Anolis sagrei: one gene and its partner. The protein of the gene in region 2 purifies or fractionates together with the protein of the main gene of each other region. This does not show direct contact. Links are inferred from orthologs where the notes say so. Each region holds a gene or a part of one and is shown on either strand. Other genes may lie near its edges.

Region 1 (8,651 bases), on a different chromosome or scaffold from region 2:
GCTGATTCAGAAAATTTCATTGGATAGACCACATCAGCTCTAGTTTCTGGTACAGAACATATGCCATCCAATAGTCGCCATCTGCTCACCTTGGCACTATCAGAGGTTCCGTGAGACCAGTCACTTTCGTTGCAACAATGTAGTAATGGTGATACCATGGATCATATTTTAGGTCTTGGGAACCACTGATCCAAATGAATAGACTTAGAATCCCAGGTGATATAGTTTTGCCATTTTGTACCATCTGATGTGGGACCCCACTGAATGTAAAATCAGGCTATGACATAGGGGTGAATTCTGAATATCAAGAGTAGGCCTAGTGAAATAATTGGGTTACATGTTAGTTAAGACAGACATAATATCACTACTGACCAAAAGGTCATGAGTTCAAAGCCAGCCCGGGTCGGAGTGAGCGTCCGACCAATTTGTGTAGCTTGCTGTCGACCTTTGCAGCCCGAAAGACAGTTGCATCTGTCAAGTAGAAAATTTAGGTATCACTTATGCAGGGAGACTAATTTACGACGCCATAAAAATCTCCAGCAAGCATCAATATTTAATACTGATATTGTACAGGGTTAGTCAAAATGAATAGGCCAATAAGAAAATTAATTGTACCCGAATGTATGTTTACTGTAACCAAACCACAGCTACGTAGCGACAGATAAACTATCAAAGTTTTTTTTGAGCAACACACATGTACGTTAATGCCGCTAGGCGTCGCTAGGAGTCGCTGTTTTCAAAATGGCGGAATCAGGCAAAGAGAAGGCGTTTTGTGTGATGACATTTGCTAAAACAATGTCAGTAATTACGGTCCAGCGAGAATTTTGAGCCAAGTATGGCAAGGAACCACCTCATCGACATTCCATTGCGAGGTGGGTAAAGCAATTTGAGGAGACGGGCTGCTTATGCAAGGGTAAAACCACAGGACGACCGCGTGTGCTGCATTCGATGCCATTACGTCGGATGTGCTGCAACGGATGTGGAATGAACTGGACTATCGCTTGGACGTCTGCCGTGTCACACGGGGCACCCATATCGAACATCTCTGAAGGTGAGACAAAACTTTGATAATTTATCTGTCGATACGTAGCTGTAGTTTGGTTACAATAAACATACATTCGTCTAAAATTAATTTTCTTATTGGCCTATTCATTTTGACTAACCCTGTATTATGCTAATAATATAATATATTATATGCATATATATATTGTAAGATGCTCTGATTCCCCTTTGAGGTGAGGAGGGCGAAATATAAATGCAATAAATAAATAAATAAATAAATAGTTGATATCAATAACTGGGCCTATGTGCAGAAACTCTTAAACTATATCTTCAGCTTTACTGTTCACTTGTAGATTACCTTTGCCAATGGCTATTTTATAAAAATATTCAGCTAAAAGGGGTGAAAAAAATCCACCAGCTTTCAGATACATTTCAAAGGCTATCGGAAGGAAACAAGGAGAGTTTTAAGAGAGGACCAGAAAAGCAATTACAACTTGTGCAAGATCTGTGTTGTCTTTGCAGTCTGGGTGTGATCCTGGATTCATTGCTGAGCCTGGAACCCCAGGTCTCGGCGGTGACCAGGGGAGCATTCGCACAATTAAAGCTTGTGCACCAATTGCGCCCGTACCTTGGGAAGTCTGACTTGGCCACAGTAGTCCATGCTCTTGTTACATCCCGTATAGACTACTGCAATGCTCTCTACGTGCGGTCAGAGGCAGCCATAGGTAATTTTCAACGGTAAGCAAACAGTATTTTGGTGCCCCCCCCCCCAACGAATCATTGATATATATTTTCTGTTTGTCGTGGGAGTTCTGTGTGCCATATTGGTTCAATTCCATCATTGGTGGAGTTCAGAATGCTCTTTGATTGTAGGTGAACTATACATCCCAGTAACTACACTTGCCGCATTTGCTCCCTTGCCTGGCCTGCTTTGGGTCCGGAGGCGTGTCTGAAGACCCCGGCGTGTGTACCAAAAGTCACCTCTTCTCCTGACTTTCTCCTCAGCCATTGGGACCGAGAGAGAGAGAGAGAGAGAGAGAGAGAGAGGTGGAGATGCCCACCTTTCCTGAAGGTAGGCGCAAAAACAAAGGAGGAAGCGGAGGTGGGAGATACCTCCAGCCGGAGGGGCTCCCCCCCCTCTCTCTCTTGGTCCCAATGGCTGAAGAGAAAGTCAGGAGAAGAGGCGACTTTTGGTGCACACACTGGGGTCTTCAGACACGCCTCCGGACCCAAAGCAGGCCAGGCACGGCAGCTCCACCCCTTGGCCCACCTGCGGATTCGGGAGAGGAGAGGAGGCGGGTGGAGCGCCGGGGGATTGGGAAAGGGAGCCGGGCATGGGGAAGGGATCGAATGCGGAGAACGATTGAGCGCCAGCTCTGCTCACGCACCCACTGGCCGGGTGGAGCAGGAACGAGAGGGGCTAGGCGAGGCTCAAGAGCCCGGCCCCTTTGGGAAGAGGATCGCCTGGCAGCGAGGCAAGAAAGCTGAGGTCCCATCCCCCCGGACTGCTAGGGCTGTTGTGAGCTGAGGGGGTGCTCCTCAAGTGGCAGTCGAGGGGCATTTACAGGAGCCTCTGCACCCCTGGCAAAAAAAAAGTGTTCTGCGACTGCTTACTTCTAGTAATGGACAAGCCGCCCCTGCGTGCGGTTGCCTTTGAAAACTGTCCGGAAGCGTCAACTGGTCCAATGGACAGCAGCCAGATTGCTAACTGGAGCGGCTCTCAGGGAGCATACAACCGCCTTGTTGCGCCAGCTCCACTGGCTGCCAGTTCGCTACCGGGCACAATTCAAAGTGCTGGTTCCAACCTATAAAACCCTAAACGGTTCTGGCCCAACTTACCTGTCTGAACTATCTCCCCTTATGAAGCAACTAGGACCTTGAGATTGTCCGGAGAGGCTCTGCTCTCAGCCCTGCCTTCGTCACAGGTACGTTTGGCGGGGACAAGAGACAGGGCCTTTTCAGCGGTGGCTCCCCGGCTATGGAACACCCGCCCCAGAGAGATTAGATCTGCTCCCTCCCTCTTAATGTTTCGGAAGCAACTCAAAATGTGGCTGTTTGAGCAAGCGTTCACAAACACAGAGTAATGGATACAAACAAGTGACATAGGAACGGATAACTGACGATGGAACTGGACAATGCTTGACAGTAAGGAGAAGCCAATGATGTTGTTTTTATTGCTGTTGTGATTCATGTAATTTTAATTGTTTTAAAATTGTATTATGATACTATGTATACTGTTTTGTTGGAAACCGCCTTGAGTTGCCGATAGGCTGAGAAAGGCAGTATACAAATACAGTAAATAAACAAACTTCTCATTGACCTACCTCCAAACAGGGATTGAGGCAGCTGGTTCTCCACTGGGACCAAAACAGCACCAGCAAAGGGAAGAACATCTGTGGGCAGAGGGCACCACCCCTGGGCATCTTCAAGCTAACAACATGAGGAAGAAAGGAGAAATAAGCAGGAAAGAGAGATCGAAAATCCAGCAGACAAACACTTGCTTCGTCATGTAAGGCAGGCCAAGATCCTAGGAGAACGGGCAAATCTACACACAGCAGGAGAAGGAAGTGCAATTGAAAAAGAAAGAAAAAAGCAAACCGGAGGTTGTCCCTGGTGCAAGATCTATGTTGCCTTCTGGTAAACGGAGGTCTAGAAAGGCATGCTGTAGTTGACTGCAGGGCAAGAGGAAGTTCAGTCTTGCCATATGAGTTCCTCTTTTTGGTCAGACGGACTTAAAACCGTACGTTATACAGAATTCTGTGATTCTGCCCTCTGTTGTTTCTCTCTTTCTTTCTTTCTTGCCTCCTTCCTTCCCTTCCTTTCCAACTTCACTTGAGGAAAGCCAGTCATGTATGCAGTTCTTACTTCTGATGAGAGTACTTAGCACAGTGTTTTTCAACTTTCCGAATGCCGTGACCCCTTAATACAGTTCCTCATGTTGTGGTGACTCCCAACCATAACATTATTTTCGTTGCTACTTCATAACTGTCATTTTGCTACTGGCATGAATTGTAATGTCAATATCTGATATGCAGGATGTATTTTCATTCACTGGACCATATTGGGCACAAATACCCAATACGCCCAAATTTGAATACTGGTGGGGTTGGGGGGAGTGATTTTGTCATTTGGAGTTGTAGTTGCTGGGATGTATAGTTCACCTACAATCAAAGAGGATTCTTAACTCCATCAACGATGGAATTGAACCCAATATGGCACACAGAACTCCCACAGCCAACAAAAAACTGGGAGGATTTGTTGGGCATTGACCTTGAGTTTGGGAGTTGTAGTTCACCTACATCCAGAGAGCACTGTGGACTCACACAAAGATGGATCTGGACCAAACTTGGCACAAATACCCAATACGCTGTAATGTGAACACTGGTGGAGTTTGGGGGAAATAGAACGTGACATTTGGGAGTTGTAGTTGCTGGGATTTATACTTCACCTACAATCAAAGAGCATTCTGAACCCCACCAACAATAGAATTGGGCCAAACTTCCCACACAGAATGCCCATAACCAATAGAAAATACTGTGTTTTCTGATGGTCTTTGGTGGCCCTTCTAACCCCCGCTTGCAACCCGCCCAGAGGTCCCGACCCCCAGTTGAGAAACGCTGACTTAACAGGTCAACTGGATTCACCTACATGTTGACTCACTATTGATTAGGCTTGTACATTTTGGGTGAATCACTATCCATTTCTGCTTACTAGAAGACCACCATATTTGTTTTCAAGTGCCTCCCGAATGGGGGCTTTCATTCCGCATTAAAAAAAAATGGTTCTTCCAAGCTGCTGAATGGGCATTTTCATTCCGCATCCAAAAAAAAACACCACAAAAAAACAAACCAGCTCTTTTTGGCCCATTAATGGCAATGGGGAATTTATGGAGGCACCCCACTCACCATCCCTCAGGTCCACAACTCCCAGTCAGACCCACTAAATAAAAAGAATCAGGAAAATAAAAATAAAAAAGATTCAACTGTGATGCTGAATAGGGAAGGAGGAGGGAGCAGAGATCAGCTCCCACTTGCTTTTGTTTCAGGTGGGTTTTTGTACTAGGAGGACCCTTACCGTTACATACTCCCGGAGATAGCGAAGGACATGCAATCCATGCACAACCCTACTATTTGTCAATTTATTCACTGCTCTAGTTGGGATTAACAACAATGATATAACTACTGAATGACCTTGGGCAAACCATGGTTTAGCAGTCCCAGGTGAAAGCAAGAACAAAGCCTTTCTGAACAAATCTACCCAAAAAAAACTCCATGATACGATGATCTTTGGGCCCTGTGTGTCATGTTTTATGTTCTGCAGTTGATGGTGGTTGGTGATGGAAGGGTTAATGTAAGCATTAGTTCTAAAGGGTTAAGTAATCTGTAAGTAAGAGTTCATGGTTGAAAGCAATTAGGGGTTTAGGTATGTAAGAGATGGGTTGCAGCTGGGTGTTTCTGGATATAAGGAGCTAGCCTTGGGACTGATCTTTGGGCGAATAGTATTTGTTTTGTCTTGGTGGTAGATGCTGTTGGTTTTCCCCCAGGTTTGTGGCTTTTTGGTGTCCTGATCTGACTCCTGAACCTTTAGAATCCTGGAACCTTGAATCTTTGGACTGGCTTTTGACTACGGTATACTCTTGATCCCTGGACTTTGTTTATTAAACTCTCGGCGTTTGACCACTGGACTGGACCTTTTGACTATGAAGTTATCTTGAACCTGCAACAGTGTTTGCTGTTTTTGTTTTATATTCTGTGGCTGAGTACAATCTTTATGTTTTATATTTTGGACTATTAAAACAGCCAGAAAATAAGTGTGTTTTAATTAAACTGCTTGATATAAACTGGGTATTTGTTTGGTTCATCTCTACCTAAATAATGGCAGAGCCCTGGCATCGTGACACTGTGAAGGATGGAAGAGATCACAGGGGACAACTAGTCCAGCCCCTGCCATTGCAGGGATACACAAGGCCAGCAATAAAGAGAAGAAGGAGAGTTTAATTTTGATTGAGCTTATAAGCAGATAAGAAAACTAGAGCAGAACTCCAAGAAACTAGGGCTAGACTCCCTTCTCAATTATGGAAACTCACTGGATAACCATGGGTGATCCACAAGCTTTGCCAGATAACACAATTTCAGACTTCCCTTGAATAAATCATGTAAAGGAAATCCCATCATAGCTTCACTTCAAGTTCTCCACAAGTCAACGACAAACTGAAGACATACAGCAAGTAGCCAGCAAGCAAATCTACCTAAATCATTTTTCCAGAACAAATATGTGGATTAGGACACATCCTTGTCTCAGGTACCCCTTGATTTGAATCAAGATGCCCATTCCTGTTGTTTATTTCTTAAAGGCAGTATAGCTAATGAGTCTGAGAAACACCCCATGAACACATATAGTACTTTTAAAAACCCCACAGATGCTTCCAATCAGCAAGCAAGCAGCAATTACATTAAATGGAAGACAACAGGCCAAATGAAATGCAGTCAATTGGCTACCAGAGAATGCTCTCAGTAACTCTCAAGAGCATTGGTGCACGCTTTCACGCTTACAGAGCAGCATGTAGTAACTTTGCAACCACTTTGTTGAAGTGTCACCCCATTCCCAGTTGACTCTTGCTTGAATGCATGAATGCATGAATGGCCATGCAGGGAGGGAGCAGGGTCACATTGGGATACCACCATTCAGTGTCTGAATCTCAGGAGGAACCTCAGAGATGCCATGTTCGGATTGTGATATTCCATATGCTTCCTCCAAAACCAGTGGTTCTCAACCTTTCTAATGCCACGACCCCTTAATACAGTTCCTCATGTTGTGGTTACCCTCAACCATAACATTATTTTCGTTACTACTTCATAACTGTAATTCTGCTACTGTTATGAATAGTAATGTAAATATCTCATATGCAGGATGTATTTTCATTCACTGGACCAAATTTGGCACACATAAACAATACGTCCAAATTTGAATATTGGTGGGTTGGAGGGGGATTGATTTTGTCATTTGGGAGATGTAGTTAATGGGATGTATAGTTAACCTACAATCAAAGAGCATTCTGAATTCCACCAATGATGGAATTGAAACAAACTTGGCACACAGAACTCCCATGACCAACAGAAAATACTGGAAAGGCTGCTGGGCATTGACCTTGAGTTTGAGAGTTGTAGTTCACCTACACCCAGAGAGCACTGTGGACTCAAACAATGATAGATCTGGACCAAACTAGGCAGGAGTACTCAATATGCCCAAATGTGAACACTGGTGGAGTTTGGGGAAAATAGACATTGACATTTTAGCGTTGTAGTTGCTGTGATTTATAGTTCACCTACAATCAAAGAGCATTCTGAACCCCACCCATAATAGAATTGGGCCAAACTTCCCACACAGAACCCGTATGACCAACAGAAAATATTGTGTTTTCCTATGGTCTTTGGTGACCTCTCAGTCACCCCCTCATGACCCCCTCCCCAGGGGTCCCGACAACCAGGTTGAGAAACACTGTCCTAAACACATAGTATACATCTTGTAGGGCTGGGCGGTTTCGTTCGTTAATTTCGTAATTCATTATTAATTCTTTTTTTTTATAACGAAGTGATATTGAACCATTCAGGAGCAACTAAAAATCGAAACGAATTTTTAAAATTTATTTCGCAATTGTTTCGTAATTGTTTCGTAATTGTTTTGAAATTGTTTCATTATTATTTCGTTATTATTTCCGTATGTCTGGTGCAAGCTTTATGGTTGTTTGTTTTATCAGTGATAAAAAATAAATTATCACACCAACAGTCAACAACAGAGGGAGAGGGAAGCTTCAGAAGTTCCCCCTGTCCCATTTGGTGGTTTTTTTTAGCGTATTGCGCAATCGCATCCGCCATTAACGAATCGATTCGTTATTGTTTCAAAATTGTTTCGTAATTTCCAAAATTTCGTAAATATCGAACTTTTTTAAAGAAAAATTTTGGAATTCTTTTAAATAACGAAACGCAAAAATCGCCTAAAAACGAATCGAGTTTAGAAACAAATTTTTCCGTGGTTGGACAGCCCTAACATCTTGCACTGGAAAATAGACTTGTGCATTTGGGATAAACCTTGATCTCGACTTTTGGTGGGGGGGGGGGGGCTGTTCCATTTCTTGGGAGCCTTCCAAAATCAAGAGGGCAGATGTTTTTGCTCTGTGGTCCTGAAAGATTTGTTTTCTATCAGTCCCTTATGGAGGGAGCTTTCCAGGCTCCCCTTCCTGTCATTTTAGGCATTTATGCTGTTTTTTTTTACTCTAGAGGAGGTACTCAGCTGCAGGCAGGCACACATTTTAAGGATGCTTCCTACTTGTTTCTTACTCTAGAGGAGGCACTTGGTTGCATGCAGGCACATGTACTTTCTGGGTCTGCTGCATGCCACATGCAGTTTCCAAGGCAAGGAGACATATTCTCTGCTTCTTACTCTAGAGGAAGTACTCAGCTGCAGGCAGGCACGCACACCCTAATCTCCAGGATCTTGGAAGACCTTTGGTTGGATCACTGCCAGGTGGAGAGGAAAAGGGGTCATATTTGTTTATTTGTTTATTTGTTTATTTATCTATTTATTTATTTATTTATTTTGTATACAAAGCATTGCATAAATTAGTATAACACTGATAAAAATAGAAGGCG
Region 2 (7,674 bases):
TGGCATCCAGCTGGACAGACAATGAGGATGAAAAAGTGGAGCAGGGATTTGTTTCTATAATAAAAGTTTCACCAATACCCATAATGCATTTCTTCCTATGAATAAAAACACTTTGGGATTCATCAAAGCACTGGCGTATTATTCCTCTTTTAATTTCAGTGCACACCTTTCATTCAGCCCGTTCAGACCTGATGAAGACAAGGGATGAAAAGGATCTCTTGACAACAAGTTGGCACAAGAAAACTATGGGTTGAATGCCAGACGTGGGTTTGGCAATGGGAGTTGCAGTCCAACCGGTTTCTTTGGCGTAACCATCCCTCCAAGGGAAGAAGTGTCCAACCGGTTTAGGAGTGTGGATGAAGCACAAAAACAACAAAGACACAGCAAAGTTGCCATTTTGGACTAAAACTCTCATAATCCCCTGCCAGAGTTCGAAACTCTGGGTAATATTTCAGTAGACAAGACCACGAACGTTGGACCTCAGCTTTCAGAAGCCTCCATAGTTGGGGATTATGGGAGCAGAAGTCCAAAACTTTTGGCAAAACAAGTTTCATACAGGTATGGGCAAACCCGGGCCTGGGGGCCGGATGTGGCCCCTTGGGCTCTTTTCTCAGGCCCTCCTCTCTTTCCATCCTATTCTTCCTTCTTTCTCTCTTTTCTTCCTTCTTCCCTCCCTCTTTCTTCTCTTACACCCTTTCATCCTTCCTTCCCTCTTTCCTTCCTCCTTCCCCTTCCATCCTTCCTTTTTGTCTTTCCTTCCTTTTCTTTCCTCCCTCCTTTCCCTCCCTCTTTCTCCTTCCATCCTTCCCTTCTTCGCTTCCTTCCTTCCCACCCTTCCCTTTTTCCTTCCATCCTTCCCTTCCACCCTTTCGTCCTTCCTTCCTTCTCTCTTTCCTTCTTCCTTCCTTCTCTCCCTCTTTCTCCTGCCATCCTTCCCTTCTTCGCTTTCATCCTTCTTTCCCTCTTTCCTTCCTCCTTCCCTTTCCATCCTTCCTTTTTGTCTTTCCTTCCTTTTCTTTCCTCCTTCCTTTCCCTCCCTCTTTATCCTTCCATCCTTCCCTTCTTCGCTTCCTTCCTTCCCTCCCTTCCCTTCCTCTTTTTCCTTCCATCCTTCCCTTTCACCCTTTCATCCTTCCTTCCTTCTCTCTTTCCTTCTTCCTTCCCTCTCTCCCTCTTTCTTCTTCCATTCTTTCCTTCCTCCCTTTTGTCCTCCCTTTTTTCTCTCTTTCCTCCCACTTTCTCTTTCTCCTGCCATCCTTCCCTTCTTCACTTCCTTCCCTTCCCTTCCCTTCCCTTCCCTTCCCTTCCCTTCCCTTCCCTTCCCTTCCCTTCCCTTCCCTTCCCTTCCCTTCCCTTCCCTTCCTCTTTTTCCTTCCATCCTTCCCTTCCACCCTTTCGTCCTTCCTTCCTCCTTCTCTCTTTCCTTTTTCCTTCCCTCTCTCCCTCTTTCTCCTTCCACCCTTTCCTTCCATCTTTTCTCTTTTCATCCTTCCCCTCTCTTTCCTTCATCCTTTCCTTCCTTCCCTCCATCACTGGGCAGCCAGTCCCCCTAGCAGGGAGTGCTGCCGTGTGGCCCCCAAGTTTGCCCAGGCCTGGTTTAATAAATATCGAGCAAGGAAGTGATTGAATGATGGATCGTAAGAACATGAAAAACCAGCCGAAAGCTCAGAACAAAGATCTGGGGAAAGACGCTATTCCGATGGATGCAGCCTAGAATCGCATTGGCCTTTGCTGTTGCTGCATCACACTCTTGACTCTCATGTTTATCTTGCGGTCTACTAACCACTTCATCACATTGAACCAGGACAAGTGTTTGGTAGAGTAGGTCTATCGTAGGTTAATCTCCCCCAAACCCTGCCAGTATTCAAAGTTGGCCAGATTGGGTCTCTGTGTTAAGTGTAATAATAATAATAATAATAATAATAATAATAATAATAATAATCTTTATTTATACCCCGCCACCATCTCCCCAAAGGGGACTCGGGGCGGCTTACATGAGGCCATGCCCATCAGTACAGAAACACAATATAACACAAAAACACAACAGAAAATCAGAAAATAAAATGACATAAAATACAAAAATGCAAAATACAAAATATGCAAAAATGCATAAAATACAAAAATACAGCACAGCAATATAACATCAAAACATTAAACCACTAAAACGAACACAATGAGCAGGGCCAGTACAAAAATTAAAATTTTAAAACACTGGGAGATAGTCCAGATCCGTCCTCGGGGAGTTCAGAGGGCTCACTGGATAAGAGTGAACTACAAGTACAACTCCCATATTCCAAGATCAATTACTCCCCAACCCCCCCCCCCCCCCCTGTATTCACAGTGGGCCGTGTTGGGTCTGTGCTCCAAGTTTAGTCCCGATCCAACATCGACTAGGTTCAGTGCTCTCTGGATGAGGGTGAACTATAACTCCCAAAATATCAAGATCAATTCCCCCTAAACCCCTTCATTATGTTCTGTTGGTCATGGGGGTTCACTGTGCCTAGTATGGTCCTGGTCCATTGTTTGTGAGAGTGACAATATCTCTGGATGAGGGTGAACTATAATTCCCAAAAAATCAAGGTCAATTTCCCCTACACCCCTGCATTATGTTCTGTTGGTCATGGGGGTTCACTGTGCCTAGTTTGGTCCTGGTCCATTGTTGGTGAGGGTCATAATATCTCTGGATGAGGGTGAACTATAACTCCCAAAAAATCAAGGTCAATTCTCCCTAAACCCCTGCATTATGTTCTGTTGGTCATGGCGGTTCACTGTGCCTAGTTTGGTCCTGGTCCATTGTTGGTGAGGGTCATAATATCTCTGGATGAGGGTGAACTATAACTCCCAAAAAATCAAGGTCAATTCCACCTAAACCCCTGCATTATGCTCTGTTGGTTATGGGGGTTCACTGTGCCTAGTTTGGTCCTGGTCCATTGTTGGTGAGGGTCATAATATCTCTGGATGAGGGTGAACTATAACTCCCAAATAATCAAGGTCAATTCCCCCTACACCCCTGCATTATGTTCTGTTGGTCATGGGGTTCACTGTGCCTAGTTTGGTCCTGGTCCATTGTTGGTGAGGGTCATAATATCTCTGGATGAGGGTGAACTATAACTCCCAAAAAATCAAGGTCAATTCTCCCTAAACCCCTGCATTATGTTCTGTTGGTCATGGCGGTTCACTGTGCCTAGTTTGGTCCTGGTCCATTGTTGGTGAGGGTCATAATATCTCTGGATGAGGGTGAACTATAACTCCCAAAAAATCAAGGTAAATTCCCCCTAAACCCCTGCAGTATGTTCTGTTGGTCATGGGGGTTCTCTGTGCCTAGTTTGGTCCTGGTCCATTGTTGGTGAGGGTCACAATATCTCTGGATGAGGGTGAACTATAACTCCCAAAAAATCAAGGTCAATTCCCCCTACACCCCTGCATTATGTTCTGTTGGTCATGGGGGTTCACTGTGCCTAGTTTGGTCCTGGTCCATTGTTGGTGAGGGTCATAATATCTCTGGATGAGGGTGAACTATAACTCCCAAAAAATCAAGGTCAATTCCCCCTACACCCCTGCATTATGTTCTGTTGGTCATGGGGGTTCACTGTGCCTAGTTTGGTCCTGGTCCATTGTTGGTGAGGGTCATAATATCTCTGGATGAGGGTGAACTATAACTCCCAAAAAATCAAGGTCAATTCTCCCTAAACCCCTGCATTATGTTCTGTTGGTCATGGCGGTTCACTGTGCCTAGTTTGGTCCTGGTCCATTGTTGGTGAGGGTCATAATATCTCTGGATGAGGGTGAACTATAACTCCCAAAAAAATCAAGGTCAATTTCCCCTAAACCCCTGCATTATGTTCTGTTGGTCATGGGGGTTCACTGTGCCTAGTTTGGTCCTGGTCCATTCTTGGTGGGGGTTACAGGATGTCTGGATGCGGGTGAACTACATCTCCCAAAAATCAAGGTCAATTTTCCCCAAACCCCTGCAAGATTCCTGGATCCTTTTCCTATGGATTATGACTTCCCTCAGTCTAGATACTATCCTCCTATGGATGCAGCCTAAAATCACATTGGCCTTTGCTGCTGTTGCAGAACATTGTCGGCTTGCAAAGGCTCCTAGAACACATTGACTGCTTTCCAGCCAAATTAGTCTCTGTGCATTGCATTCCTGTGGCCTAAGTGTAATATTGCACATTTCTTCCTGTTGGGAATTCATTGTGTTTGTTTAGGCCCCAGCTCTCCAATCTGTCGAAAGTATTTTGGACTCTCACCCCGTCCTTTGAACCAGGAAACGGGCTCAAAACTTTCAGGAAACTGCTCGGATTCAAGGCCAGACGCTTCCTGTTTCGTTGCTGTGCATGCCCCACCTCGAAGGCCCATACCGCTGGGGGGACTCCCCGCTCCTTCGGCCCCTTTGGCATCTGAAGCCTTGCTGGATTTGTGGCAAAGAGCCAGGTAAGGAGTAGAAGTTGGCAAAAAAGTCACATTCCTCTCTTCGCAGAGGAAGGAAAGAAAAAGCGATTGCCTCGATTCAACCGTGTGCAGCATTACACTTCGGCAATAGAAATACAATGGAGTCTCCTTCCTTCGAGGTTTGTAAGCAGAGGCTGGATGGCCATCTGCCGGGAAGGCTTGGATGGTGTCGTCTGTGAATTGTCACCCTCCCCAAACAGGCCTTCGTCTCCAAGCTACATACAGTCTCCTTCTCTAGAGGTTTGTATGCAAAGGCTGGATGGCCATCTGTCAGGAGGGTTTTGATTGTGTTCCTGCCAGGCTAAAAGGGGATGGATTAGATGGCCCTTGGGGGTCTCTTCCAACTCTAGGATTCAATTATTCCACCACCCTCATTCTCCATGTTTAATGTCTATGAAGTTGGATGGCCATCTTTCGGGAGGGCTTTGATTGTGTTCCTTCCTGGGATAAAAGGGATGGACTAGATGGCCCTTTGGGGTCTCTTCCAACTCTAGGATTCAACGATTCCGCCTGCTTCTTTCTCGATGCATAATGTCTATGAGGCTGGATGGGCATCTGTCAGGAGGGTTTTGATTGTGTTCCTGCCAGGCTAAAAGGGGATGGATTCGATGGCCCTTGGGGGTCTCTTCCAACTCTAGGATTCAATTATTCCATCACCCTCTTTCTCCATGCTTAATGTCTATGAAGTTGGATGGCCATCTTTCGGGAGGGCTTTGAGTGTGTTCCTGCCTGTCATAAAAGGGATGGACTAGATTGCCCTTCGGAATCTCTTCCAACTCTAGGATTCAACAATTCAGTCCGCTTCTTTCTCCATGCATAATGTCTATGAGGCTGGATGGGCATCTGTCGGGAGGGATCGAATGGTGTTGCTCCCTGGCAGAAGGGGGATTGGACTGGATGACCTTTGGAAGTCCCTTTCTAGCATGCTCCTTGTTATATTTGGAACCACACTTCTTTCTGGCTTACCGACATTCCTATCGGTAAGTTTCGGAAAAACTTTCCTACTTCTTGTTTGATACTTTCCTGGTTTAAAAACTTTTCTATTTGGGAAGTAAAGAGTTTGATACTCCCTGGGTTTCTCTTTTCTGCTTCTGGAACTCTCTGCCCTGGAGTGTGGTGGAGGCTCCTTCTTTGGAAGCTTTAAACAGAGGCTGGATGGCCATCTGTCAGGGGTGATTTGAATGCAATATTCCTGCTTCTTGGCAGGAGGTTGGACTGGATGGCCCATGAGGTCTCTTCCAACCCTAGGATTCTATGATTCGGCAATGCATTGCTGATATTGCAATAGACTGCTTTTATGCCATCTGATTTTATCTCATCTAAATAATAGCTTTGCTGTTTATCTTCAATACATTGCACTGAGTAACGCTATTCTTTTAATACGCAAGGGCAGCATGACAATTATTTTAAGTGCAGATTTGGTGCGCTGCTATATCGCCTTGTGCTTATTTTGTATGTCTATTGCCTCAGAGTATCAATAAGCTAATAGAGTGTTTAAACCGTTCATTTTTAAATGTACTTTACTTACGTAGGCGATCCCATGATGGTGTCTTTGTGGTGGGTTCGTAGGTTATTCTTGATACACATTGATACACAGTGAGGACATCGGTTTCCAGGTGGAAGGCGGTCCCGGTCAGGGTTGGCTTGATGCGCCTTCTTCCTCTTGGCACATTTCTCCCTTTCACCTTCCATTCATGCCTCTTCGAATTCCGCAGCACTAGTGGTCACAGCTGACCTCCAGTTAGAGCCCTCAATGGCCAGGGCTTCCCAGTTCTCGGTGTCTATGCCACAGTTTTTAAGGTTGGCTTTGAGCCCATGTTTAAATCTCTTTTCCTGTCCACCAATGTTACATTTCCCATTCTTGAGTTGGAAGTGTAATAACTGCTTTGGGATGGGATTGTTGATGGGAAGTTTCCCACCGGAGTGGAAATCATCTATCTGACAGATGGCAAGCTATTCAAACTCAGCAGACTGAAAGCCAAAACCAAGGTTACAACAACATCTGTTATAGAACTCCAGTATGCTGATGACAATGTCGTCTGTGCGCATTCAGAAGAAGATCTACAAGCCACTCTAAACACCTTTGCAGAAGCATACGAGAAGCTCGGCTTGTCATTGAACATTGAAAAAACCAAAGTGCTGTTCCAGCAGACACCAGCCAACCCCTCCCCAATGCCAGAGATACAGCTTAATGGTGTAACATTAGAAAATGTTGATCATTTCCACTACCTTGGCAGCCACCTCTCCACCAAAGTCAACATCGACACCGAAATACAACACTGCCTGAGCTCTGCGAGCGCAGCATTTTTCCGAATGAAGCAGAGAGTGTTTGAGGACCGGGGCATCCGTAGGGATACCAAGGTGCTTGTTTATAGAGCTATTGTCCTCCCAACCCTGCTATATACCTGCGAGACGTGGACTGTCTACAGACGTCACATGCAACTCCTGGAACGATTCCATCAGCGCTGCCTCCGGAAAATCCTGCAAATCTCTTGGGAAGACAAGCGGACAAACGTCAGCGTGCTGAAAGAAGCAAAGACCACCAGCAATGAAGCAATGGTCCTCTGCCATCAACTCCGCTGGACCGGCCATGTTGTCCAGATGCCCGACCACCGTCTCCCAAAGCAGTTGCTCTACTCCGAACTCAAGAACGGAAAACAGACTGTTGGTGGACAGGAAAAGAGATTTAAAGATGGGCTCAAAGCCAACCTTAAAAACTCTGGCATAGACACTGATAACTGGGAAGCCCTGGCCCTTGACCGCTCCAGCTGGAGGTCAGCTGTGACCAGCAGTGCTGCGGAGTTTGAAGAGGCACGAATGGAGGGCGAAAGGGAGAAGTGTGCCAAGAGGAAGGCGCGTCAAGCCAACCCCGACCGAGACCACCTTCCACCTGGAAACCAATGCCCTCACTGCGGAAGAAGATGCAGAGCAAGAATAGGGTTCCATAGCCACATACGGACCCACAAGAATATTGGAAGACAATCCTTCTCGGAAAACGAGGGATCGCCTAAGTAAGTAAGTAAGTAAGTAACTGCTTTGGGAGACGGTCATCAGGCATTTGGACAGTGTTGATGGTGTAGGAGCATTGCTTTAGTTCTGAAGGTCTTTGCTTCTTCCAGCACACTGGCATTTGTCCACATGTATTCCCAAAATATTTGCAGGATTTTTCGGAGGCAGTGCTGATGGAATCGTTCCAGGACTTGAGTCTGTAAACAG

What was found.
Region 1: the proteins of TICAM1 (region 2) and TLR4 purify together in Homo sapiens (affinity purification with western blotting; 3 studies listed by BioGRID). This does not show direct contact. The link is inferred for Anolis sagrei from reciprocal best matches to the Homo sapiens genes TICAM1 and TLR4.

Annotation. Positions count from the first base shown.
Region 1 is NC_090031.1:12,184,145-12,192,795, reverse strand, and holds the start of TLR4 (toll-like receptor 4), read right to left. Parts: upstream 3,497-8,651; 5' UTR 3,426-3,496; coding exon 3,327-3,425; intron 1-3,326.
Region 2 is NC_090034.1:55,716,938-55,724,611, forward strand, and holds the start of TICAM1 (TIR domain-containing adapter molecule 1), read left to right. Parts: upstream 1-4,196; 5' UTR 4,197-4,440; intron 4,441-4,455; exon of another isoform or gene 4,456-4,698; intron 4,699-7,674.